4 linked regions of the Diceros bicornis minor genome follow. The protein of the gene in region 3 purifies or fractionates together with the protein of the main gene of each other region. This does not show direct contact. Links are inferred from orthologs where the notes say so. Each region holds a gene or a part of one and is shown on either strand. Other genes may lie near its edges.

Evidence for each region.
Region 1: the proteins of COPS5 (region 3) and COPS7A purify together in Homo sapiens (affinity purification with mass spectrometry; 19 studies listed by BioGRID and IntAct, counting the BioPlex papers as one, with this or other methods). This does not show direct contact. The link is inferred for Diceros bicornis minor from reciprocal best matches to the Homo sapiens genes COPS5 and COPS7A.
Region 2: the proteins of COPS5 (region 3) and BTBD1 purify together in Homo sapiens (affinity purification with mass spectrometry; 3 studies listed by BioGRID and IntAct, counting the BioPlex papers as one, with this or other methods). This does not show direct contact. The link is inferred for Diceros bicornis minor from reciprocal best matches to the Homo sapiens genes COPS5 and BTBD1.
Region 4: the proteins of COPS5 (region 3) and TXN purify together in Homo sapiens (affinity purification with western blotting; 3 studies listed by BioGRID and IntAct, with this or other methods). This does not show direct contact. The link is inferred for Diceros bicornis minor from reciprocal best matches to the Homo sapiens genes COPS5 and TXN.

The regions. Positions count from the first base shown.
Region 1 is NC_080756.1:55,005,219-55,012,476, reverse strand, and holds the start of COPS7A (COP9 signalosome complex subunit 7a), read left to right. Parts: upstream 1-4,240; 5' UTR 4,241-4,347; exon of another isoform or gene 4,348-4,459; intron 4,460-4,826; 5' UTR 4,827-4,868; coding exon 4,869-5,030; intron 5,031-5,053; exon of another isoform or gene 5,054-5,088; coding exon of another isoform or gene 5,089-5,172; intron 5,173-6,374; coding exon 6,375-6,450; intron 6,451-6,681; coding exon 6,682-6,770; intron 6,771-7,258.
Region 2 is NC_080744.1:95,509,158-95,516,349, forward strand, and holds the start of BTBD1 (BTB/POZ domain-containing protein 1), read right to left. Parts: upstream 3,012-7,192; 5' UTR 2,972-3,011; coding exon 2,580-2,971; intron 1-2,579.
Region 3 is NC_080772.1:19,447,618-19,454,477, reverse strand, and holds the start of COPS5 (COP9 signalosome complex subunit 5), read left to right. Parts: upstream 1-3,925; 5' UTR 3,926-3,976; coding exon 3,977-4,119; intron 4,120-6,397; coding exon 6,398-6,632; intron 6,633-6,860. UniProt on the Homo sapiens protein: Probable protease subunit of the COP9 signalosome complex (CSN), a complex involved in various cellular and developmental processes.
Region 4 is NC_080767.1:19,027,836-19,034,685, reverse strand, and holds the start of TXN (thioredoxin), read left to right. Parts: upstream 1-3,841; 5' UTR 3,842-3,925; coding exon 3,926-3,949; intron 3,950-6,850. UniProt on the Homo sapiens protein: Participates in various redox reactions through the reversible oxidation of its active center dithiol to a disulfide and catalyzes dithiol-disulfide exchange reactions.

The sequences.
Region 1 (7,258 bases), on a different chromosome or scaffold from region 3:
AAGTGGAATTTGAAATTAAAAACAGAATACCATTTACATTAGTACCCCAAAAAGAGAAATACTTAGGTGTACATCTAACTATATATATAATTTTTATGAGGAAAACTACAAAACTCTGATGAACAAAATCAAAGAACTAAATAAATGGAGAGATAATCCATATTCATGGGTGGGAAGACTCAATATTGTCAAGATATCAGTTTATCCCAACTTGACCTATAGATTTAATGCAATCTCAATCCCAATCCCAGCAAGTTATTTTATGGATATCAACAAAGTGATTCTAAAATTTATATTAAGAGGCAAAAGACCCAGAATAGCCAACACAATATTGAAGGAGAATAACAAAGGTGGAAGACTGACACTACCTGACTTCAAGACTTACTATAAAGCTATCGTAATCAAGACAGTGTGGTATTGGCAAGAGCATAGACAAACAGATCAATGGAACAGAATAGAGAGCCCAGAAATAAACCCCCATAAATACAGTCCACTATTCTTTGACAAAAGAGCAAAGGCAATACAATAGATCAAAAATAGCCTCTTCAACAAAGGGTGCTACAACACCTGGACATTTACATGCAAAAAAATGAATCTAGGGCCGCCCCGTGGCTTGGGGGTTAAGTGCGCGCACTCCGCTGCTGGCGGCCCGGGTTCAGATCCCGGGCGCGCACCGACACACCGCTTCTCCGGCCATGCTGAGGCCGCGTCCTACATACAGCAACTAGAAGGATGTGCAACTATGACATACAACTATGTACTGGGGCTTTGGGGGGGAAAAAAAAAAGGAGGAGGATTGGCAATAGATGTTAGCTCAGGGCCGGTCTTCCTCAGCAAAAAGAGGAGGATTGGCATGGATGTTAGCTCAGGGCTGATCTTCCTCACAAAAAAAAAAAAAAAAAGAATCTAGACACAAACTTTACATACTTCATAAAAATTAACTCAAGATGGATCACAGACCTCAATGTAAAATGCAAAATTATAAAACTCCTAGAAGATCACATAGGAGAAAACCTAGATGACCTTGAGAATAGTGATGCTTTTTTAGATACAACACCAAAGACACAATCCATGAAAGAAATAATTGATAAGCTTGACTTAATTAAAATTAAAAACTTCTGCTCTGCAATAGACAATATCAAGAGAATTAGAAGACAAGCCACAGACTGAAGAAAATATTTGCAAAAGACACATCTGATAAAGGACTGTTATCCAAAATATACAAAGAACTCTTAAAACTCAACAAATAAGAAAACAAACAACCCAATTAAAAAATGGGTCATTCCATGACACATTGATCTAAGGAAAAAAAAAATGAGTCAAAGACCTTAGATACTTCACCAAAGAAGATATACAGATGTCAAGTAAGCATATGAAAAGATGCTCCACATCATATGTCATCAGGGAAATGCAAATTAAAACAACAATGAGATACCACTACACACGTATTAGAATGGCCAAAATCTAGAATACTGACAACACCAAAAGCTGACCAGGATGTGGAGCAATACAAACTCTCATGCATTGCTGGTGGGAATGCAAAATGGCACAGCCACTTTGGAAGACAGTTTGGTGGTTTCTTACAAAACTAAACATACTCTTACCATATGATCCAGCAATCATGCTCCTTTGTATTTACCTAAAGAGGTGGAAAACATGTCCACACAAAAACCTGCACATGGATGTTTATAGCAGCTTTATTCATAATTGCCAAAACTTGGAAGAAAGATGTCCTTCAATAGCTGAATGGATAAATAAACTGTGGTACATCCAGACAATGGAATACTATTTGGCACTAAAAAGAAATGAGCTATCAAGCCGTGAAAAGACATGGAGGAACCTTAAGTTGAAAGAAGCCAATCTGAGAAGGCTACATATTGTATGATTCCCACTCTATGACATTCTGGAAAAGGCAAAACTATGGAGACAATAAAAAGATCAGTAGTTGCCAGGGGTGGGGGGTGAGGAAAGATAAATAGGCAGAGCACAGAGAATTTTTAGGGCAGTGAAAATACTTTGTATGATATTATTATTATTATTATTTGTGAGGAAGATTAGCTCTGAGCTAACATCCATGCCAATCTTCCTCTTTTTGCTGAGGAAGACTGGCCCTGGGATAATATCCATGCCCATCTTCCTCTACTTTATATGGGACGCACAGCATGGTCTGACAAGCGGTGCATCAGTGCACACTGGGGATCTGAACCCAGGCCGCCAGCAGCGGATCGTGTGCACTTAACCACTACACCAGGGGGCCGGCCCCTGTGCGATATTATAATGATGGATATATGTCATTATACGGGTGTCCAAACCCACCCTTAGGTAAACTACAGACTTTGGGTGATTACGATGTGTCAGTATAGGTGCATCCTTGATAAAAAATGTACCATTCTGGTAAGTGATATTGATAATGGGGGACGTTATGCGTGTATGGGAGCAAGGAGTATATGGGAAATCTCTGTACCTTCCTCTCGATTTTATTGTAAACCTAAAACTGCTCTAAAAAATAAAGTCTTAAAAAAAAAGTTGAACAAATAAAGACCTGGCACATAATAGAACATATGTTGGCTCTTTTCTCATTCTTTCTTCATATTTTTCTTTTTCCTTCCCTCTTTAAATTGATAAGACTGGATTCATTAATTCTTTGGTTCCTCCAAACTTTGGATATTTTCTTATGCCTTTGATCTCTTCTCCTCACTTTTTTTTTTTTTTGGTGACGAAGATTAGCCCTGAGCTAACATCTATTGCCGATCCTCCTCTTTTTGCCTGAGGAAGATTGGCCCTGAGCTAACATCCGTGCCCATCATCCTCTACTTTATATGTGGGACACCTGCCACAGCATGGCTTGATAAGTAGTACGTGGGTCTGCGCCTGGGGCCTGAACCTGTGAACCCCAGGCCGGCAAACCAGAGTGTGCAAACTCAACCACCACGCCACGGAGCGGGCCCCTCTTCTCACTTTTATGTGTAATCTCTTCCATTCATTTCTTCTTCTCTTTCTCCTCCTCTGCCACTTCTTCCTCCTTCTTTTTCTTCTTCTCCTTCTCTCTCTCCTTTCCCAGTTTCTGCTTCTCATTTTCTATCATAAACCAAGCCATGTGGACCATAAACTTTGAGCTTCAAGTCCCTTCAGCTCCAGCAGTCTACCAGTCCTGTGATTTTCTCTTCATTTATGTTCTCTTTTCCCACTTTCTCTCTTTCCATTACTTATAAATTACTTAACTTCCCTGGGCCTCAATTTTTCCATTTGGAAAATGGAAATAATAATAGATTATTATAACCATCAAATGAATTAAGTAAAGCTCTTAGCTCAGTGCTTAACACAAAGGCCTCCAAGAAGTCATTAACTTTATTCTCATTTGACCCTCTGCAAGCCTGGTATGAAAGATAAAAGTGTAGAAATGTTAGCTGTTTATTTTTTCCTAAAATACAGTGGTAAAATGGGAAGATGCTTTGGCTTTGAAAAGACCTGGGTTCTAGGCAAATCTCTGAATTTTTATGAGCCTCAATTTCCTCATCTGTGAAATGAGAATAATAACATATGCCTTCCTTCCACCTAGGGTTTTTTCCTCCTCGAGGAATTAAGAGTCAATATACAGGAAAGCATCACTCTACAAGTACATGTAATCACGATAGACAGTGTCCTGGAGTCACACTGGGGGCACAGTATAGTTATGAGGATTCAATAAGATAAAATTTTAAAAGATGCCTAACCAATAGTATGCACTCAATACATATTAGATATTATTATTTGCTTTACCTTTTCCACTTCTTTTCTCTTGTTCCTCAAAAAAATGAGTGGTTGAACTACCCAGGTGATCTCTGGTGCTAAACTTCTATTATTGATTTTTGTCCTCTTCCTCTCTCCTCTTCATCCCCCCACCTTTTTTCTTCTTCTCCCTCTCTCTCCATTATAGCTTTCCTCTCGCCTCAGGCACCCGTGCAGCCTGGATCTCCAGATATCAGGCAGCTTAGAGCTGCCACAGAACCACCAGGTACCGGACTGAGACCACGAGTTCCCTCTGCATTTAGCGTCTTAGCGCTCGTCCAACAATAAAGTTTTATTAAAACAAAGCAGAAAAAAAGGCACCCGTCCTTCTTTCCTCAACAGCCAATCAGCAAGTAGAATGCTTGTGTCACTCACAGGAGCTTCAGCAGTCGGAAGGAGGGGGCGGGGCATGTTGCGCTCGAAACCGGCCTCATAAGAGCGGAAGTACGGCCGGAAGTCAGCCATAGAGTGTAGTGGCCAGAGTGCCCCTGCAGAGAGGTCTCAGGAAGGGCTCGGAGCAGCTGCCGGAGGTGACGGAGCGGCGGCCCCGCCCGGTGCACTGGAAGACGAAGCTTCCAGGTAGCGGCCCGCAGAGTCTGACCCGGGGTAGGACGGGGCAGGCTGCGGGAGCCCACGGTCCCTGGCGGCTTCTTTAAGGGAGGGGGCGGAGCCACGTGGAAGGACTGTGAGGGTGACATCACGTGGCTGGGGGTACATTCGGGGCACCAGTGGCGATTTGAGGGAGCGTCGTCGTTGGGGTGGACATCATGTGACACTCCTTCCCCACTGCATCCTTGCCTTAGGGTTCAAGGGGGTGCACGTGGTGGGGCTTGAGATTAGGCCCAGGGATGGGAGAGGGTGGGCGTGGCCATCCTGTCTCAGCCAGACTTCCATCAAAGTGGCCAATTTTAGGATTCCTAGATCCGAGTTTTAGACAGCTCCATCTCTGATTCCTCACTGCAGACACTCAGTGCCTCTGCAGACCAGTCCCTAGCCCTTGTACTTCCCCACCTCCCAGTGTTGAGGGACTTCCAGCTTCACATCCTCTTTCCTTGCAGCTCCAGACATCCTGAGCCCAGGTCCCCCAGCTCAGTGCAGCCATGAGTGCCGAGGTGAAGGTGACAGGGCAGAACCAGGAGCAGTTTCTGCTCCTGGCCAAGTCGGCCAAGGGGGCAGCGCTGGCCACACTCATCCACCAGGTGCTGGAGGCCCCTGGTGTCTACGTGTTTGGGGAACTGCTGGATATGCCTAATGTTAGAGAGGTGGGTTCCTGGCCTGAATAGCCCACAGGGAAACTTGGGCTAAAGTTTGGATTTGAGGATGAGTGGGCAGGGCACGTTTTGCAACCCCATAACCATTCAGTTGAACAAGAATGCGTTGATGATTAACTGGCAGCTTGCAAAAGTAAGTATGCAAGTAAACCTCCTACTTTCCCTTTGGGGATGAATGATCTGTAAACCCCAGTATTTTCATTTTTAAGCAAAAGAGCATGTGATTCAGAATAGGAGACCTGATTTCAGCTTGTCTCCGCCAGTGTAACATTGATCGAGTCACTTTTATTTTAGGGCCTCAGTTTTCTCTTTTAAAAAGGGAGCTGATACTGCCCTTCACTGTTACTGTAGGAATCAGTTGAGATTATGGAAAAGTGTAAAGTCTGGGACAAATGGAAGGAACAAACATGAAATTGGCATGCCCTCTTCTCCCCCTTTTGCATGATAGCTAATTCACTTAAGTTAGATAAGTTAGGAGGTTTCTTTTCCTCAAAGACACGTGGCTAGAAACACAGCAGAGAGAACTGTTCACACAGAAGTAGCAGAGTTAAGAGTTTAAAGTCCAGAGTGTGTGGGTCACCAAGATGTATGACACCAGCAAGTATTTGTTTAGAGAGCTGACTACGTGCATAGCTCTGCTAGACCTAAGTGGGATACCAGAGGCTGGGTCTGTAATCTTGTTGAAAAGAAACATATTCTTGGGTAACAACCTTAGGCAGGGTTTGATTGATTAAGTGCCAGAATGAGTGATTAGTGATAGGAAGAGAGGAGATCTGGGTGGGCTGGCCTGGGTGATGAAAGCCTTCTGGGTGAGGCAGGTCTGAAACAGAGGCCACAAATTCCAGTGCCTGCCTAGGCCATGCAGCTATCAGAGATGAGAGAGGCTGAGGGAGGCGTCTTTGGTGAATTGGGGAGTACAGCAGACTGCCTAAAGATATTCAAATGCAGAAATATTAAACACACTCTAAGGACCAAACAACGCCGTTTATAATGTGTGTGTGTGTGTGTGTGTGTGTGTGAGACACTGAACACTCTGAACGTTTTCACCTCTGAATTTAGGGTAGGAATTGGAGGCCTGTGGAGGAACAAGGCGTTGTGGATTGGGGGAATAGTGTAAGCAAAGGCCTGAAGGGGGAAGTGAGGCAGAATTGGGAAATTCTATGGGAATTTGGGAAAGTGATCAGAGAGGCAGAGAGTTCCTTTTGGTGAGCTGGGAGAGCTAATGTTGGAGGGGAAAGATGGGGCCAGAAAGTGGAGTTCAAACCAGGGTAAGGCTGGGAGGTTGGAGAGAGAGGCCCTTCCTGTCACCTCTTCTCCCTGCTTATGTTCTTGCAGCTGGCTGAGAGTGACTTCGCGTCCACATTCCGGCTGCTCACGGTGTTTGCTTATGGGACATATGCTGACTACTTAGGTAACCAGAGGGGCTGGAGCTCCGGAGTCATGGAGGTGGGAGAAGGGCAATTTCTGGAGGGACTTAGAAGAAATTCCTGGCATACCTTACTTAGGTTCCTTAGGTACGCAGGGTCATGGTCAAGACCTGAATTGGCATGGAGAACACACACAAAGAAATGCAAAGGAAGAAGGCTAGGGCTTCCCACAAAAGTGAAGTCAGGATTTCCTACACTTTGTCCTTTTTTCCCAGCTGAAGCCCGGAATCTTCCCCCACTCACAGAGGCTCAGAAGAATAAACTTCGACACCTATCAGTCGTCACCCTGGCTGCCAAAGTCAAGGTGAGTGACAGTCCCCCCCAGGCCTGAGCCAAAGAGCACTCTTCGGTATGTCCCTTCGTAAGGGCCCATCTGAAGGGAATTTGCACTCAGACAGCCTTTGACCATACTGTTGCTTCTTCCTGCCTTCCCCCCACATCCCTCTAAGGTCTGTATCTAAACTTCATTACCTGCAGCCTTTTAGGCTGAGTAGTATTCTCTTAGTTTTCTGTTTTGTTTTTATTTTTCAGTCAACTTAAGTTCTAAGTAAAACATCTTTTGTGCTTTGTGTCAAAATGACGACTAGGATGCTGTTCTCTGTGTTGTTCAACAATCACCCTCCTCCCCACTATATAAAGTCCCATGGGAACGAGGGTCTCTCTCCTCGTTGAAGTGCTAGGCTTCTATTTGCTAGAATAAGAAATGCATAACCCAGGGGCCGGCCCGGTGGCGCAAGCAGTTAAGTGTGCGTGCTCCGCTGCGGTGGCCTGTGGTTCACCAGTTCAGATCCC
Region 2 (7,192 bases), on a different chromosome or scaffold from region 3:
GACTGGCACAAGGGAGGAACACAGTATTTCTCAAATGAACAGCTGATGAACATCACTTAAAGGTCAGGCAGATAAAAATGAGCAGTTTCTTTTTTTTTTTTTAATAATTTTATTTTATTTATTTTCCCCCCAGAGCCCCAGCAGATAGTTGTATGTCATAGCTGCACATCCTTCTAGCTGCTGTATGTGGGACGTGGCCTCAGCATGGCAGGAGAAGCGGTGCGTCGGTGCGCGCCCGGGATCCGAACCCAGGCCGCCAGCAGCAGAGCGCGGGCACTTAACCGCTAAGCCACGGGGCCTGCCCTGAGCAGTTTCTTAAAGTGCTTCAAACTCACGTTCAAAAGCCTGTAACTAATGTTAACTAATTCAAGTTGCGCACATAATAAAAGTATGCCCAAGCTAATCTGCTTTTCCAACTCAGCAAGTGCTAACATCTTTTTGTCACACAATAGTAGGTTCAGCATCTACGTTTCACAGCCAGCCAATATCTAGGTTAAACTCAGTCCAGATATCACTTTCAGAATAGAATAACGACTGGAACCTACCTGAAGAAGGACAAATGCCATGACTACACTGAAAATAGGAAAATTTCAGGGACTCTGAATTAATTCACTTATTTTCTATTGATGGGAAAAGACTGATTAATAGCTTCAGTGAAAATATGAAATAAGCATTTTTCCCTCTACATTCTTATCCTAGCAATCTCAATATTTTTTAAAGGGAAAAGCTACCCAACAATATTTTTTGATCACTGGCTCTCAAATTTAGCCAGTTAGTATTTTGGGAGAATATTAAAAATGCTCTTGAGGTTCTACCTCAAAACACTGCAATATTGTAAGGAGGGAAGAAGGGATCTACAAATTCAAGAAGTACTCTGGGAGATTACAATGCAGATGGACCAACAGATCATTTTAAAACACTTCCAGTCTAGAAAATCTAAACAAGCTATAACCAATCCTCCTGGTCAACTTCAAACCAAAAACCAAAATGACCTAGATCCTAGCTTTTGAATTGTTTTCTTCTCCTTTTATAAATGTAATTGAACTAAATTACAGAAAATATGGGCATCAAAGAGAAAAGAAGAAAAAAAAAAGGCAATATCATCTTAACAATCCAACACAACTTCGGTTCACATTTTGCTGTTTCCTTCTATCCTTATCTCTAGGTACATGTTTGTTCTGTTTCTTTAACCACAGTGTGCACAGTTTCAAATACTATTTATTATACACATTTTCCATGTTAATGTTACTACCTTGTCTTGATAAGCATCATACTTAGTAGCTGCATGACATTCCATCAAATTGACCTATCACTGTATATCTAACCATTCCCTCCAGTTGACTACTTCATCACTACTATAAATAATCCTGCTGCAAAATTTTTGTAGACTGTTTTTTCAGTACTTGAATACTTCTTATCTGTGGTAAAAAAAAATCTTTGGTGCCAAAGTGTTTTACCACCACCTTTGCAAGAGAGGGCTCCTCTGATGGTTTAACAGAAGACGCAAAGTACTTTACTTTTAATTTGCACTTCTCTAATTACTAACGAGATTAAACATTCTTTGTTAATTAGTTGTATTTTCTTCTTTCCCTAAGCTATCTATCTTGTCCTTTATCCATTTATTAACAGGATCTTAGCATTTCTTTCCTCCTTGGGTTAACTCTGTATTCAATTTCCTATTTATCTTCCTGATTGAGCTGTGAGCCTTTGCAGGCTGTCATCTGTTCCCTGACCTACCTGTTTTTGCCTCAGTACCACCCAAGACTCTGCTACTAATAACAACACATTCTACTCAGGCAGCTAAAACCATTTTGGTATAATGAAACACAAACGGTCTTCCGTGTGAGTTGGCTCTGTTACCTTGGGCAAGTTATCTGACTCTTCTGGGCCTCAGTCCCATTTGTAAAATTGTGGGAAACAAGACCTATACCTCCCTAATTGGACTTTTGTGACTAAAAGCTAATAATGGCAAACTATTAGCTCCCTTCCATTAAATAAAATTAATCAGAAGTCAATCTACTATCCTCAAATAATCAAAAAGCAAACTCGAACACCGATGGAGGGATTCGTTTTTAGGCTAGTGTGACCTTGCCTGCAGAAACGCAAGGCAGGTCAAGCCACACTTATTGTTTTGGTATTCACTTTCCTGGGTCTTGACAACTAATACTTATGCTAATGAAATAGGAGTAAGAGTTTAAAAGAAAAAAAGGCCCTAGGTCCTACAAGACTTTTCAACTATTCCCCTCTCCCCTCAAAAAACATAAAATTTGGCAAACGGGCCATCAGGACAACCTGACCCACACTCTATCCTTCCCACTTCTCTAACTCTGAAGCCTCGGCGATAATCCGCTGTTGGAACGCGAAGGCGCCTCTCAACGGCAAAGCGCACGCTAATGGGACCCCGACCTTAACCTTCGCCCTAACACCCGGCGGCGGCCGCCCGCCTGACGGATTCTGATTTCGACCTTCCGGAGCATCACCGGCTCGGGAGGACAGAGGCCCGGGGCGGGTCAGGAGAGCCCGGCTCAAGGTCACCGGGGAGTCCGGGCGGCCGGGCCCCGTCGGCCGGGGCCGCTCACCTCAGCAGCGCCAGGAAGGCGGCGGGCTCCACGTCGGGCAGCTCGATCTCGGCCGACGTGGTGGCCATGCCGCCGTTGAACATGGCGTCGAAGACGGCGCTGCCGGCCGCCAGCACGAAGCGGTGGGCGGGGATGCGCTGCGGGCCCCCGGCGGCCGCGGCGCCGCGGCCCTTGCCCAGCACGAAGCGCACATCGCTCAGCAGCTCCGAGTTGAAGAGGAAGGCGAAGCGCTCCTTCAGCGACGCCTTGGTCGCCTGCCAGTTGTAGAGCGGCTCGCGCTGCAGGGGGAGCAGGGGCCCCAGAGACGATGGCGACGCCGGCGCCGCGGCGCCCGACTCCGCCTCAGCCCCCGGGCCCTGCTCGCCCGGAGCGGCCGGCCCGAGCGAGGCCATCCTCTGGCGGCGCAGGGCCTGGCTAGGGAGACAGCTCCAGCGACCCAGCCGCCATAGCCGAAGCCGCCCCGGAGGCTGGCGCCGCCCCCCTGCCTTCCGGAAAAGGCGTTTCCGGAGCCGCGCGCCGCCGCCTGCCCCGCCCTGCTCCGAGTCGCGGGGAGCGCGTCCCCGCGCCAGGCGCGTCCCCGCCGGGTCGGGGTGCGGAGGCGCGCGCGGCCCCCCGAGCTGGGGCTGGAGGCGGGCTCCATCGATGAGTCGCGTGCCGGGCGCGCTGAGCAAGTGTGAGCCCCGAGCTGGATGCGGCCAGGCCCAAGCCCCAGGCTCCTCCTCAGACCTGCGGGCCCTTGAAGCTTCTGCCCTTTTGTTCCCTCAGGCACTCATCGCCAGCTGCAGCGCCTAAGACAGGTCCCTAGACTATGCCTCAAGGAGTTTCTCGCCTGGAAGTGGAGGGGGCTGGAGGGCATGATTCCTCACAGCCCCCCAACCCCAGTGATGTCCAAGTCACCACTCCAGAGGGCCGCTGCTCTTGTGTAATCCCAGGATCTGAGCTTGGAACCCCCTACATCTAACAGCTGATGTTCTGTAAAAAAAGAGCCCTCCCTTCTCTTTCCCCCTTCCTCTATTCTGTCTGTTTTCCAGTATCATTGTGGACTCATGGATTCTTTTTTTTTAATGTCACCAAAAATTGACCATATTTTATTTATTTATTTTTGTGTGTGTGAGGAAGATCAGCCCTGAGCTAACATCCGTCCTAATCCTCCTCTTTTTGCTGAGGAAGACTGGCTCTGAGCTAACATCTGTTGCCAATCCTCCTCCTTTTTTTTTTCCCCAAAGCCCCAGTAGACAGTTGTATGTCAAAGTTGCACATCCTTCTAGTTGCTGTATGTGGGTCACGGCCCCAGCATGGCTGGAAAGTGGTGTGTCCGTGCGGGCCCGGGGAACCTGGGCTGCCGGTAGCGGAGTGCGCCCACTTAACTGCTAAGCCACTGGGCAGCCCAGACCATATTTTAAATCTCAAAAAAAACCTTCAAATGTACCAAAGCAAACATGGTACAGGTGGCATTATCTGGTACAAAACAATAAAATCATAATTTAGTAGCAAAAAATAGGAGGACACATATCAAAACTTATGGAATGCAGTCAAAGCTGAGCTCAAGCACAAGCCAAAAACACTTTAGTAAACTGGAAATAATAAAAATAATGAAATAGAGGATTCTGGGAAGATGGCAGAGTAGGAAGCACACCAGGAATCTGTCTTCCCACCTAGACAACAATTGCACTGGCAGAATCTGTCTGATTCTATTTTGGAACTGTGGAGTATGTTGAAGGCTGGTGACTTCCAGAGGAAGACTTGGACAGTCAATTGCTGTGATTTTCAGTTTGCACAGTGGCAGTTACCTGTCCCTCACCCCCAGCCCCATGGCAGGCAGCTGTACACATGTTCCTGGCGCAGCTTGCACATAGCTTATGGGAGCCAGGGTGGGCAAAAAGGAACCTGTCCTCTAGATATCAAGGATCTGTGCTCTGATGTCTGCTTCTGAACACAGGTGTAGACAAAGAGGGGTAACCATTGTTGTTGCACCTCTTGGTGCTGTTGCAAGCCTCCCTCCCCCCAGCTGAAGTGAATTCCATGGGATTTAAAGGACCAGCACCCTTTTTCCCCTCCTTCATTTTTCACTTTTTCATCTTTTGGGAACCAGACATTTAAAGACTAGTAGATTAAAAACAACCTCATATAAGATGGGGAAAATTAGAAAGTGACCATCCACACCCAGGGAAAGGCTGAAAAAAGACCTGAGAAGACCTTAAGTTTACACTTCAGGCTTATCCTTGGCACAGAGACAGCCTACAACAATCAAAAATATAAAAACAATAACAAAAAAACAGCAGATCTTGGGGAAGACGGAGAACCTGATTTCCAGAGTGATCACATTGCTAGATTCGAATGTCCAGTGTTCAACAAAATAATCATAAGGCGTACAAAGAAATAGGAAAGTATGGCCCATTTGAAGGAAAAAAAAATCAACAGAAACTGTCCCTGAAAAAGACCTAATGGCAAATATACCACACAGACTTTAAAACAACTGTCTTAAAGATGGTCAAAGAACTTAAGGAAGATGTGGAGAAAGTCAAGAAAATGATGTGTGAACAAAATGGAAATATCAATAAAGAGATAGAAAACCTAAAAAGAAACCAAAAAGAAATTCTGGAGCTGAAAAGTACAATAATTGAAATGAAAAATTCACTAGAGGAATTCAAAGGAAGATTTGAGCAGGCAGAAGAAAGAATCAGAAAACTTGAAGACAATAGAAATTATCAAGGCAAAGAACAGAAATAAAAAAGATTGAAGAAAAGCAAACAGAGCCTAAGGGACCTATAGGACACCATAAAATGAACCAACATATACATTGTGGGAGTCCTAGAAGGAAAAGAGAGAGAGAAGAGGGCAGAGAGAATATTTGAAGAAATAACGGCTGAAAATTTATGAAGCAGAAACTGATAGAATTGAAGAGAGAAATATACAGTTCTACAATAATAGTTGGAGACTTCAGTATCCCACTCACAATAGTGGATAGAACAACCAGACAGAAGATAAGTAAGGAAAAAGAGGACTTAAACAATACGATAAACCAACTAGATCTAAGAGACATATACAGCACAGTCCACCCAACAACAGCAGCATACACATTCTTCTCAAGCGCACATGGGACGTTTTCCAGGATAGACCATATATTAGGACACAAATTAAGTCTCAATAGATTTGAAAAAACAGATATTATGCTAAGTATCTTCTCTGACCACAACAGGATGAAGTTAGAAATCAATAACAAAAGGAAAACTGGAAAAGTCACAAAATTGTGGAAATTAAACAACACACGTTTAAACAACCAATGGATCAAAGAAGAAATCACAAGGAAAATTATAAAATACTTAGAGATAAATGAAAACACAATATACCAAAACTTATAGGACACAGTGAAAGCAGTGCTATGGGGGAAATTTATAGCTATAAAGGCTCACCTTAAAAAACATGCAAGATCTCAAATCAACAAGCTAACTTTACCACTTAAGGAACTAGAAAAAGAACAAACTAAACCCAAAGCTAGCAGAAGGAAGGAAATAATAAAGATTAGAGCAGTGATAAACAAAATAGAGACTAGAAAAACAAAACAAAATCAATGAAACCAAAAGTTAGGTCTTTGAAAAGATCAACAAAATTGATAAACCTTTAGCTAAATGGACTAAGGAAAAAAGAGAGAAGACTCAAACTACTAAAATCAGAAATCTCAGTGGGGACATTACCACCTATGCTACAGAAATAAAAAGGGTTCTAAGAGAGTACTATGAACAACTGTATGCCAAAAAATTGGATAACCCAGCTGAAATGGACAAATTGCTAGAAAAGCAAAAAAAAACTTATTTTTTTCTCTCCAAAGCCCCAGTACGTAGTTGTATATCCTAGTTATAGGTCCTTCTAGTTCTTTTACGTGGCACACTGCCTCCGCATGGCTTGATGAGTGGTGAGTAGGTCCACACCCAGGATCTGAACCAGCAAACCCCATGCTGCTGAAGAGGAATGCGCGAACTTAACCGCTACACCACTGGGCCGGCCCTAAACAAAAAACATTTTAAACACTTGTTAAAATAGTAAGAAAGACTTTGGGCTGGCCCCATGGCTTAGCAGTTGAGTGTGCTCCGCTACTGGCGGCCCAGGTTCGGATCCCAGGCGCACACGGAGGCACCGCTTCTCCAGCCATGCTGAGGCCGCGTCCCACATACAGCAACTAGAAGGATGTGCAACTATGACATACAACTATCTACTGGGGCTTTGGGGGAAAAAAAAAAGGAGGAGGATTGGCAATAGGTGTTAGCTCAGAGCCAGTCTTCCTCAGCAAAAAGAGGAGGATTAGCATGAATGTTAGCTCAGGGCTGATCTTCCTCACACACACACAAAAGAAATAGTAAGAAAGACTTTATTCGAGTCTATCGAATGGGGGCATTGCAACAGGTGAGAGTAATCAAGCTCAACTCCAAATACAGCACTGACAGCTGGGGATTTATAGCCAACAAGCAAAGTGAGGGGGTCAGTAGATGGAAAATTACTATGAGGAGATGTCAAGGGTAGGGGGATTCTTGCTAAACTGACTTCAAATTCTTGCTGAAGGCAAGCCAGGGTGATCAGTTATCAAGGGTGGGGTATGAGGAACTTGATCAGATATC
Region 3 (6,860 bases):
GCATGCACGGACGCACTGCTTCGCAAGCCATGCTGTGGCGGCCTCCCATTTAAAGCGGAGGAAGATGGGCACGGATATTAGCCCAGGGCCAGTCTTCCTCAGCAAAAAAAAAGAGGAGGATTGGCAGATGTTAGCACAGGGCTGATCTCCTCACAAAAAAAAAAGACTGAAAACAGAATAGCAGGGAGTGCTAACACATGGGTGTGGGGTGTGGGGAGGAGCCTGTGAAAGAGCCTTAGAAGAAAGAAAGGGAGGGATGAGGTGAACCAGGACAATGTTTCTCATTTCCCATCCATCCAGAGATCTTTCCACCAAACGAAAGGTGCTCAATCTTTTTCTACTGACAGGGTGACAAGCACATAATCAACCTACTTCCACAGGCACACCCCGATTTTGACAAATCCCCCCAAATGTTGCTAAGAAATAAATACCATGTTGCTGGGGGGGAAAAGGGAGGTTGGGGGTTAGGATAAACAGAGAGAGTGAATATATAAAAGCATTATTAAGTCTGTTAGCAGCTGTTAATAATACATCATTATAGTGACCACCGACAGCAGCATAAATTAGATAGCCTTTGGGTAACGCAAAATTGCCAAAACACTTGCTCAACTGCCTGTCTCTCCCACTCAGCAAAGGAATCAGAATACAAGTCAGAATGATGTTAAAAGGATAATCTGAAATCTGCTCAAAGTTTGTGAGAATTAAATTGCATTTGTCTGAAAACTTCATTTGAGAAAAACTGTACTGAAAGCATCCTGTTTCAATTTACCCTATCTAAAACCACTTGCTCCCTTCCAGAAGCTCATCTGTACTGCAGGAGACCCAAAATTTCATCGCTGGGAGCATTTCAGCAGATATTTAACCACCAGACAGTCAGTGTCCTCCTAGCGAGGGAAGGATATGCAGGAAAAAAGCAGCATCTCATTGGTTTCCATGGGATTCCTTTTGGCTTGTCAACATGACAAGCCAGTTTTTCATATAAAACAGCATCACTCTAAGGATAACTGGCTTTTTACCAACTCATATTGGCTGCTATTAGGCTATTGCATTTTCCGAGGTGTTTCGAAACTAGGTGGTGGTTTACTTTAGAATTTAGTCTTCCCGGAAATCCAAGCTAAACTCTTTAATCCTACAATCTTGAGAGCCAGCCTCTCTCAAAAGATGAGTCCCATGGCTAACATCTACTGAAAACTGGATTCAAACCCCATAAAACAATCCTAAAATCAAGGCAGTTAAAAAGAAGAGGAAGGAAACAAAGAGCCAGGGGCAATAGGATAATAGCACCCGACCTCACAGGGCTGCGGTGATTAAATAAATTTTACTTGCAAAGCAAAGCGGCGGGAACAACGCCGGGCGCACAAGCACTCGGCAAACGTTAACCATTAACCAGCACCGCAGAGGAAAGGGGCTTGGGGAGGCTTAGCCGAACGGCGGAGCCCCAGCTGAGGGGGAGCGAAGGCGCACGGCAGTGGAAGCACCGCTCGTCTCTAGGAGCTGTGGGTGGCGGCCGCGTGAGGAAGCATCAACGCGTTGTCAAGCAACCGGCTCTCAACAACACCCGAGGCGGCCGCGGCGGCTGCGGCCCGGGAGTTCAGACTCGGTAACCAGGGCTCCGCCCCCGCGCCAGCCCTGCTGCAGCGAGACCCCCACCACAGGGAACCATGCCCCGCGGAAACCGGGCACCGCCCCCAGCCCGGCGGCCGCGAGACCCCATGCGGCAGGAAACCCGAGCCCCCGAGCCCCGTAACCCGGACACCGCCGCCGTCCCAGCCGTCGCGAGACCTCCGCCCCAGGCAGCTCCTGCCCCCGCCCCGGGGCCGCGAACGCAGCCCTGGGACACAACCCCCGCCCCTCGACCGCACCCCGCCAGGCCCGCTCCCCACCCGCGGCCGGCGAACGCTTACTCAGGAGAGCGGGCTCGCGTCCGGAGAGACGCACAGCGCTCTAACGACGCTCTCCGTGGTCGAAACAGGAGGCGGCAGCCGCCTGGCGCGGGAACAGTGTGACAGCCGCAGGGCCCGGGCTCCGCCTCTCCGGCCGAGCCCTCCGCCCGCCCTTCGCCAACTGCCGAGCGCGGCCCCGCCCCCACAGCGGCCGCGGGGGAAGGCCGCGCGGCTGGGGGCGCCCCCTGCCGCCCCGGAGGCCGCACAGCCTCCTGGCTGTTCGCAGGGCTCGCCCGCACCTAGGCTAGGTACTTAAGCCGCCTGGCTCCCCTGCTCCGCCTGGGGGCTTAAACCGTGCGAGCCACTTCCCAGGCTAAATCGATTCCAGCCCCTCCAAACCCTGCAAGCCCCAGCCGGCCTGGAACAGGGTCGAAACCTGGAAAGAAAAAAGGGTTGAGGTGGCAGTGAGAGAAAAACTTGTTGACGTACTTTTCCAAGACATTACGCCTCTCCCAGGAGTCTGGTCAACGTTTTGTCCTTGGCTTTTATTACTAATTTCAACATACTCAGTTGACGCCAATATTGAGTGGCCATATGCTACCACCAGAAAAGAGATCTCTAGCTTCCCAGGAGAATAGAAGAGTCCTTCATCCTAAATTACTTCGTAAGAGGCTTTTAAAGACAAATTTTCAACTGAAAGTCAATGTCAAAACCGCAGGGGAGGACGTGGATTAGATAATTCTAATGTTTTTGTTTGGAATATACGCCACACCGTACTAGGAGTGGAAGATACAACTCAGAGCGGAGTGTCCTACATTCCGAAGCTTACAGTAAAAAAGAAAAACTTTCAAGTAAATAATTATTACTATATTAAAAGATATATATTATCAAAAGATTAATATTAGCTCCCAGGCAGAAAAGTTAGGGGAGAGCATTTTAGCCAATGCTGACCACATATGCAGTTTCAGGATGACTAAAGAAAGATGAAGCTGGAGACATGAGCTCTGATGCTATTCTTTTGTTTTTCTCCCAGCAAAAAATTTATTGAACATCTATGCTAGGTGACAGGGATAAAACAAGGAACACAAACCTGGTCCCTGTGTTTTGGAACTTAGAATCTAGTGCAGAGAGGGAGAGAGGCGGAGAAGGAAAAATCCCTAAAACAAGAAAATAAATGAAATAATTAAACATTGCATTAACTGTTGGAAGAAAACACCTTGCTGAGATTAATTCGGTCTCGAGGACAGAAGTGGTTTCACAGAGCAATGCTGAAGATTAAACTAAACTATTATAAGAACTGAGTACTGGACATTTTCAGAATACTATTAACTCATATAGATGTTACTTTTTACAAACACGCCAAATAGCATGTTCAGAGCAATCCACCAGTTTCCACAGCCGCCTCCGAACGCTAGAGAACGCCCCTCTGAAAGCGTAGCGCCCAACACCAGGAGCCCACAGGATTTTACGCATGTGCAGTGAATCATCTGGAAGTAAACTAGGATGCCATGTTTATCTTTCTTTCAACCAGCATCCATAACTACTTATATCTCAATTTTTCCACAGACATCCTTATTTTTCAGTCTTTCAACAAACATTTCATTTAAGGTACCCACACCCACATAAAATTTTCTTTCCCCATCCCAGCTTAAGGATCCACCCATTTTTAATATGGCAGAGGCCGAGCGTGCGCAGTACAAACAAAGAGGGCCACTTCCAGTTTCTGGCATAACGTTACCATGCCCTTCTTCCGGTGCGGAAGGCTATACCATTCCCGTAGCCAACATTGTGTTTGTCCTAATTCACACATATAATTTTCCAAGATAATGTGTCCTCATTTCAGCCACAGGAAGATTCCCCTGTCTCTCACTATTATGAAACTGCTGTTTCTATTGTCGCCCCCCGAAGGGTCCCCGCCATCCTCGAATGGTCTGTACCAACTTCACCTCCGGTTCTAGGTGTCATGGCTGCCTCGAGAGCCTAGTACGAGTTTGCACCTGTGGTGGGGAGGGTCCGAAGCCCACAGCCGGAAACCTAGCGAGGTAAAGTTGCGTTTTGGTTGTGGAGGCGACGACTTCTCCGATTCCTCAACGATGGCGGCGTCCGGGAGTGGTATGGCCCAGAAAACCTGGGAATTGGCCAACAACATGCAGGAAGCCCAGAGTATCGATGAAATCTACAAATACGACAAGAAACAGCAGCAGGAAATCCTGGCGGCGAAGCCCTGGACTAAGGAGTGAGGAGGTCCCTGGCGAGACGCAGGGGAGGGAAGGGGTGGCGGGAGTTTGAGACCCAGAGAAGTGGGAATTGAAGGGGTGGAGAGCCTGTCTTTTCGTGGGCAGGGAGGAGAAAGAATATGCGCCTGAGAAATTTTTGTCTACCTCTTATCCCCGCAAGTAGAGATCTTAAGCTCCTCCACGGGGGCTTGCTTCGACTGCCCTATCTGTTTCTTTAACCCGTTTGCCTCCGGAGGATGGAAGAGGAAAACGGCAAGCGGTGATTTGGGTTGTCACTTCTCAACATCCGTTTTGTCGTATATGCCACCCACTATGCATTGAATCCTGCGTCTATAGACACCTTCTTGGGACCTTCAGCTGATCCCATACTGGAGACTGCAGCTGTCTTCAGAAATTGAGTTAGCCCAAGGGTCTCTAAAATAACTATGTGCCATCTTTTAGAGATCTATAATTGTTTTTTGATTGCTGGTAATTATTTCAGAAACACAAGGAGGCTCTACCCAGTCTCCCAAAATGTTACTCTACCAGTGCACATAAACTAGAAATTATATCAATAGAATTTAGGGCTCCTTGCCTCTTAGCAAAACCCCTGTGTCCCTGGGAGTGATGACAAATCGAGGTTCATTACTCAGCATTTATCCTTTCCTGAGAACAGATTTTGTTAAGGAGAAAGTAAAAAAAGCACAATCTCTCTAATGGAGAGAAAGAAAGGAGAGCGGTGGTTAACAACAAAAACTGTACTTCATTTGTCTCCCAGTTTTTTATGAGGCAAGCTTTAAGTGTCAGTATTCAGATTTAGCAGTGTTCATTGAGTACTTAATATGGGCTGAGCGCTGAGCTAGGAATTTCCATATGTCATTTAATTCTCATGACAACACAGTACTGTATTTTCATTCCTTTTTTGAAGATAAGAAAACAAGCAAATACAGTAACTTATTTTATGATCACACTAAGGCAATGAACTCTTAAGTGAGCAATAGTCAGACCCAAGATCAAATCTCACAGCTGTCACTAGTTGATTCATCCTAGGAAATTTACTTATCCATCTTCATTTTTTAATCTGTAACGTGGAAATAAGACGTACCTATTGGTCATGCCATAAAGATTAGATGAGGTAATGTATAAAAACGGGTCTAGAATGTATGTAATAGGAGCACAATAACTGTGTCTTTTTTTCTTTTCCCCAGTAAATGGAGGAGCCAAGATTTTAATTCATGTCTTGACTCCCAAGACCACGTCTCCATATTTTTCAGTTGTGATTGAAATCTGTGGGCAGACATCTTAAAAAGGCTTCTCAGAAACATTGACTGACCACTCTATACAGACTGGTTAGTTTGCCTGATTGTCTTCTTACTTCTATAGCAGGCTATGCATTTTAGGTTGATGTAGCCTATTAAATATTTGGAAACTATCAGGTTGCCTCACTGATTTTGGATGATTATATTCATCCTAGCTGTCTTGGGCTGCATCAATGAGACAGAAAATGTAATTTTATTCAAGAGCAGTTTAGTCACATCCACAAATGACAAACTCTGAAGTAGTGATTAGAGTAGAACTGAAGATATTAGGGCTACATTTTCAATTTTGAAGCTGATACCACAGAGAGAAGCCACACTCTTCAACACACTATTCTTTGGGAGTATTGTAAAAGATAGGTTAATAATGCTAATAACAGCTAGCACTTACAAAGTTTTAGTATGTGTCAGGCACTAAGCTAAGCACTTTGTATATATTATTTCATTTACTTTATTTCCTTTTAACAACTCTATAAAATATCCCTATTTACAGATGAGGAAACTGAGGCACAGACATTAAGTGGTGGTCTCAAGGCCACAGCTAGGACCTACACAGATGGATGTCAGAGCCCACATTCTTAACCATTAGGCCAGAAGGTTAAGCCTGAGAACAGTTAGGTACAACCATCCAAACAGAGTCAGAATCAGAGATTTGGTGATTCCAAAATTAATGGAGAAAAAATCTATTAAAGTGGTCATGTAATTCCCTCCTTTCTCCTTGAATAGCATATTTGAAAACTATTTCATACTTTTCCCTTGCCCCAAGGCGAAATACTTTGCAGGACTATGACATATTTATTATTTCCATCCCCCTGTAGGAACTCTGTCCTTTCCTACTTCCTTTTTCTTTCCTACATTCTACATTCTTTCTCCCCCTTCCATCACTGTAAATTCCTCCAATATTTGTTATCTTCACAAAAACTGTCTTTTGAAATTGTACTTTATATAAGAAAGTTAATTACACTGTGCTTTTGTTTTGTAGTCACCATTACTTTAAGTACTGCAAAATCTCAGCATTGGCTCTACTGAAAATGGTGATGCATGCCAGATCAGGAGGCAACTTGGAAGTGATGGGCTTGATGCTGGGAAAAGTGGATGGTGAAACAATGATCATTATGGACAGTTTTGCTTTGCCTGTAGAGGGCACTGAAACCCGAGTAAATGCTCAGGCTGCTGCATATGAGTACATGGCTGCATATATAGAAAATGCCAAACAGGTAAAAATGTTGTTCCTTAAAGTTTAGTAACTGCAAGTTAAGAGTCTCATGGTTACTTCTGGGTTGCTAAGCTTAAAACTATCCTCTTTACATTAAAGTTTCTATTTTAAGTTATTTCCAACAATTTTTATATAAAATGTATATGAGATTAACACGGATTTTTTTTTAAATAAATTCTCACACTCGAGAGTAGGTCTTAAAAATTCTCATCACAAGGAAAAAAAATTT
Region 4 (6,850 bases), on a different chromosome or scaffold from region 3:
TGCAGAAATAGAAGTACAATGATGTACACCTGAAATTTTTACAATGTTATAAACCAATGTTACTGCAATAAACAAAAAATTAAAAAAAAAAATTAGTATTTGAAAAATCTCCAAATAGGAATTGATGTACCAGAGGATGTTTCTGCCAACTATTCGAATATCCTTATAGTTACAGTTTGTAAATTAGTGTAAGGAATGTTAGATATTTTTCACTGGTTAAAAGAGGGGTATTCAAGATACATGTTGGGCTGGCTTAAAACAGTGCTGGCAAGTCCTCTCCTTCTTGAACAGAGTATAAGAATTGGTGTGCATTTGGTGTGACCAGGTGACCTCTTTGAACCTTGATTTTCTTCTCTGTAAAATGGGAAGAATAATATCTGTCTCCGAGGGGATGCTGAGAAAAATGAAGCTACACCTACCTCCAGGCCTGGCACTTAATGATTGTTCTATGCATGTGTATTTGTTCCTTTTCCTTCGACCACCTTCTTTACTATATTATTTTGAACTCCCCATTTTATATCCGTTACCATTTTCTCTTTTGTGTCCTCATCTCAACTCTCTTGCTAGACACAGCCTTCAAGCTGGCCTCCCTCTGAAGATCCCAGGGCAGTCTATCAAATCTTCTACACCAAATCACCTGGGATGCTTCTTTAAAATGCAGATTCCAGGGATCTACCTCCAAAGGCTGTGCTTCCATGTGCCTGTCTGTGTGTGGTCCAGGAGTCTGCAGTATCATCAGCACCCCTAGCTGTGCTGAATGAGGTGATCAAGGGCCACACTTAGAGGAATCTGTGATCTGAGCAAACTTTGCCTCAGAAGCCCTAGAGCTGCATTTTCTTCAAATTCAGATGTGAACAAAGACAGCAAACCTAGTTTTCCAGTCCCCCATGGGGCCTCAGACTGAGCTGACCCAGAAATCTGAAGTGAGTTCCTCACCCACACTACTCATTTCTGTTCTTCTTGACAACATGGAAACATCACTTTTGCCTATCCAGCATCCATGTCCCCTTTCTCTGGTGACCCTCTGGATTTTCCTCACTCCTGGTCAAAATGGTTCAAGCAAGGCTGACGCCTCCCCCCAACTCAAGTCAATGAAGGTCAGCCTATGGGACATTTACTAGGACCGGGGAGAAGATTGGCCTTCCTTCAGGGATACTGAACTGGTAGGAACAGAAGCCTGGCGCTGCCTGGGCTAGTCTTACATAAGGTGGAGAACCTCCTGAGAATGAAACCATAGAGATCTGTGACATCTGTAGGCCCCTGGGGTTCCTGATAATATGAGTTACTAATTCTCTTTTTGGTTTAAGTCAGTTTGAGCTGGAATCTTCCTTACAACTGCGAGTTCTGACTAATACACAGAACTGACCCCCAAATGAAGGCCTTTACATCACCCTTTCTCTCCTCCTCTCACCCCTAGCTCTCTGCACCAATGGATCCCCCCTGACTGGGCTGTCCCAAACAATTCCCCTCCACCTCACTTTCCTCACAGAACATCACCTCCTTGCCACAACTGAAATCCTAAGGACGCAAGTTTATATCCCTGTAGGCAGGGGATGTTCCTCTTTAGGTAGGGCCAGGTCTAGCCCACTTTTCTTTCACACTTAGATAGGGAAAAAATCCTTTTCCTTTGAGACTCGTGTTATTGAGCTCACTAATCTTTACTAATTTCCTGGTTACTTAATTCACTTAGGACTTGCACATCTGTTTTACAGCCTCTTCTACCTCTGCCCTCATTCCAGAGGGATCTCACCATTCCATTTAATAGCCTGTAACCATACTTTATACAGCACTTACTGCATATCAGGCAAGATTCTTAGCACTTTACACATATCTTAGCTCACTCAACCCTTATAATAGCATATTATCCCCATTTCATAGATGAGGAAACTGAGGCACAGAAAGGCTATTTAGACTTGTCTAGAGTTACCCAGCCACAGAGTGGTAGAATGGGGATGAGGACAGGGAATCTAATCACAGGGTCTGGGATCTTAACACACACGCCAGCCTCCCAGTGCCCTCTAATTGTAGCATCCCCCATATCTACTTTATATTGGTCCTCTGAAGGTGGGAGTCAGGACCTCCTCCAACCGAGTCACTGGACATTTGTAAGGTCCTTGGAGAGATGTCAGCTGAGGGTGGTTTGGATGGGCATTGGAGATCTATACCTCCTCTTCCTACAGCTGAATCATTTAAGGTCATGTCCCATATAAATGTACCAACTGATAGATAGGCCTAGAAGCTGGGATGTAAGTTGGGCTGAAGACACAGCAGCAGCAAAGCAAGTTATACATTCTGCTCCTGGGACTCCAGGAGCACAGGCCTCTCCTCTGCCCCAATAGTCTTTATTGTCTATGGGAAGCTTGCTGCATTCAGGCCAGTCCACCCTCCTCTGTCTAGGATTGTCCTTAGCATGTGTCCCTTGTCCATATCCTTACCCATGGCCCTGTGCTCCTCATCCCTCCAGAAACTTTGCACAATAGGTTCAACACCTCTGGTTTTCTTCCTTCCTCTGTTTGAGAGAGCACGGAGAAGCTAGGGGCCCTGAGAGGAAGCCAGGGAGCAATTTCAACATCCCAGCCAATCACACATGGATGTAGCTTCGTCCAGAGCTGCTCCACTCTGAAAATTCACACTCAGACCCCCCACCCCAACATTCCGGCTCTCATTCCTCTCTCCAGCCCAAAAGCTTCTCCACCTCCCCTTCCAGCTGCTGAAAGGCCCTCCTGGCTTCACAATGCCCGCTAACATAACTTCCACGAGCCCCAGTCCTGCCGGACGCAACCTGCCACACGCATCCCTATAAGAACACAAACGGCCCACTTCTCTGCTCCAGGTCTACTACTGGTAGAAAAAATTCAACAAATGTGTGTACCGGTGCCATCAGAAAGATAAGGTCGCCAAGCTCAGCACGGCCCCCCATGACACCAAGCAAGCCTTATCAGTGCTCACAATAGCTACCGTTATAACTATTTACTGAGCGCTCACCATGTGCCAAGCAGTATCCTAGTCACTTTACAAGCACTTGATTTAATCCTCAAAACACCACCATGAGTTAGAGACCATCATGGGTCCCATTTTACAGAAACGAAAACTGAGGCACCGGGCAGTCAGGACCCGCTCGGGGTCACAACTGCACCACTCTGGCCGTACTCACATCCCGCACGCAGCTGTGTGCTCGCCAGGAGCCCAGCCAGGTGCCCGGCCGTCCCTATGGCACTAAACTGCGGTGTCACGCTGAAGCAGCGGCTTCACCGGCGAAAGTGAAAGAACGTGAACGAGGCAAGAGCAGCAGAGAATCCCCGCCGGGAGTTCCGAGAAGGAGGCAGGCTGCACACGCAGAGACAATTCCCGGTCTTCTTTACTCAGCACCTTGGGGGGTGCGCGCGGCTGGGGGGCGGGGGCGTGGCGGGCCTCTTCCAGGAAAGCGCCGGCTTTGGCGGCACCTTCTCGATCCTGGGCGCGTTCTATGAAGGCCTGGCTGACCCCTTCCCACGTGACCCTGTGGCTCTGGGTATGGCCGTCGCCTCCCCGCCTCCCCGCGCCGTGCACTCTGCACGCGCCCTTTTGGTCGCTCGATGGCCCCCACAGGTCCCCAATCCCAGTCCGGGTACGGGACAGCCTTGCCGGCGGTTTCGGGCGGAGGGTGCTTCCCGGAGCTCCGCCCCGCGCCGGCGACGGCCCCGCCCCCCGACATTGATCCCGCTCCCACCCGGCGGCTCCGGGAGGCGGGGCCTGGCCGGGCGACTTGGCGGGCTCGGGAGGCCCGAGCGGGCGCGCCCCCGCCACACGCACGCCGCGCGCGCCCGCCCGTCCCGCCCCTACTGCATAAAGGGAAGGAGGGCTGCGCTCGCTCCAAGCTGCGTCCGACGCTTTGGATCCGCTTCCATCGCTTGTTGCGGTCGCTCGTCAGACTCCAGCTGCCAAAATGGTGAAGCAGATCGAGAGCAAGGTACGCGCTCCCGGGGAAGGCCGGGCGCGACGCGCAGCCTCCGTAGCTGGGGAAGGCGAGGGGCCGGAGCTGGGCAGGCCGCCGCTCCGCATCCCTGGGCGAAGGGGACGCGGCGGCTCGGCCTGGGACTGCGAGAAGCCCGGGCCTGGGTGCGCCGGAGGTGTCGAGCATGCCCTGGAGGAAGGGCGGAGGGGGACGAAGGCGCCCTGGAGGGCGAGGTCGGGGTGCCCAGCGCTGCCCGCGCCCACTGCGCCCGGGGGATGCACGCGCACTGGGAGCGCCCAGGTGTCCCCCTCTGCGCCTCCTGCACCTCCCGGTCCGGGAAGCCGTAATTGAGGGAGGGGATGGAGGGAGTCCGCCCTTGGCCCCATAAATATCCGGATACGGGCCCGGGCCAGCAGGTGGAGGGACCCTTGGAGAAAGCACGGGGTTGCTGGCCGCCACTCTCTCGCCGGTGAGCGGCGTGATCCACCCGCGCTGGGTGGGTGAGCTCCCTTGGGAGCGGATCTAGGCCGGAGACCTCCGGCTGCCGGTCCCCAGAGATGACGCGTGCTGTATCCGCGCAAAGGGGGCGGTTCCAGGCTGGAGACCCTCCTCGCGTGTGGGAGTCCGGCCCGGAGGCCCAGGTGGCCGCAAGGAAGTGAGGTCCGAGCGGCGCCCTTGGGACTCCTCCTCTTGCGGCGCAGGGCGTGTTTCCGGCGGCGCTGGCTTTGGAATGACTCAGTCCCCAAGGCTAGGCCCAGGGGACTGCGCTGCCCTACCCATTTGTGATTCACCCACAGTGGGTGGATTTCTCTGAAGCCTTAAGTTCCCCTGGGAGCAGCCGTGCCCGCCTGCGTGCTCGTCGCCCCTGGGTACCCTGTTGGTGGTTCTGTCCTTTTAGGGATGCCCAAGGCAAAAAGTGTTCTCCTACTGGAGAGTCATTGCAAGCCTAATACCCTCCTGCCCGGAAAACTCAGAGCCTAACATAGTGTCTGGTATATTGTAGCTATTCAAGAAATGTTTGTTAAATGCAGAGTCTTGAAAGTGAGTGAGAGAGCATTGATGTTGCTGGAACAGTGGAAGACCTCTCCAAAGCATTACCCCTGCGGTACCCCCGACCCTAGGATAAAGCAGGGGGAAGGCGAGACCTCCCCCGCCATGAGTGCCCCCACCTGTTAGCTGCTGGGATGGGCTTTGGGAAACAAGTTTCTCTGTGATGATCCCTTATCTTTTTGTTACTTTTATAATCAGAAAACATGTATGATCATGGTAGAAAATTTGGGAAGAGGGAGATTGTCTATTTCCTAGAAGCAACCACAAAGTAATTGAGATTATTTTACGTATACTGTTTTGTTTCTGAGCTTTTTATCCCTGTCTAATTTAGCCTGAACACTTTCCATGTAACGAGAAGCTTTTGTAATGATTTCAATATCTGAACGCATTACTGCACGTTTCGGCGGTTTTCGATGCTTCAGTGAATATTTTTGTTCATAACGCTTTGTACAGACAGAGTTCAGACTGTTTCCTCAGGTTGGGGTCTCGAGTGCAGTGATGGTGAACCTTTTAAAGCTTGTCAGTGCCCCAAGAAACATAGGAGAGTTCTCCTTGCCCTCCACCCCATGAACGCTGACTTTTCCCCCGTAACTTCGGCCAAATCATTAGTAAGAAAAATAGTCCCAATCTAATCTGAATATCTTTGATTATTAGTGACTCTGAACCCCTCCCCCCGCATATGTTGATTGGCTAATGGTAGTCTGTTGTCTGCTTTTCCTTGATCAATTTTTTCCTATTGGGATCCTCCTTTTTTAAATTGTGTGAGCTTTTATATTAAAATTAGCACCCTCTCATTTGTTGAAAAGAGAGATCCTTGATAGTGAGTTTTGTTCCACATAATTTTATTCAGTACCTCCTAAGTGACAATCTGCGGTGGGGGTGTTCTCCAGCCTCTGGCGACCTCATCAGTATAACCCAGCAGGTGAGAACCCATTGAAGGAGTGAGGCAGCCTTTGAGTGGCTTCTATTAGTTGTTTCACATTCCATACACTACAAACAAAAAATTGATTCCTGGAGTACGCCTTTCAGTCCTTCCCTATTTTAGTTGTTGGAAAGATGGCACTCTCCTCCTCTCATCAGCGGGAAGATGTGCAAGGGTGACAGGAAATTCATTACTCAAAAAAGCACTAGCCTGGGGCCTAAGGACCCTGATAATCAGTTGATCTTCAAAATTGTGATCCAGAGTCATCAAAATTAAATTAATTTGACCATTACTTGTGAATATTGAATGCACCTTAGATTTTCATCCTAGTGGACTACGTTGGTGCCCTGGGCCATCCAGGATAACTCTGAGGCACTGTGTTGGTTTAGAGCCACTAGGCTCTATTTCAGACATGAGTGGGATAATGGATTATAAATGTGATGAGAAAGAAATCAACAGTTTGTTTTCTTTTCTTTAAAGAATGGTAGCTGCCATTTATTGAACTATCTTCTACACACAGGCATTTTGCTAAATGCTTCACATCCACTCTTAAGCTTATTATCTCTGGAATGGGTATGTTTAGGAAAAGAGATGCTAGACTCTGCTCTTATCTACCTCAGCTCAGCTCCATTGTTTTGTTTTCAGAACATTTGTGTCAGTAATGGGTACCTTGATTAATCCTCATTGTTAGTTTCCAGGAGCTAGAAATGGTGCTTTGCATCTTCGATAGTCTTGAATCATTTTTAAACTGATGTCTGTTTTAGGCAAACTTTTAAGTATCAGGAGATGAGAATTTGTTATGAAGTCTGCACATACCTGGCTCTGTAACTCCTGATCAGTTAAGCCAAAAGTTATCGTTGCATGCCTCTTTTCAGAGTTTTAGGTAGTTTTGCTTGAATTTGATTCAGAATCATTTTTGGGAAACCCTTGAGAGTGTTTGAAAT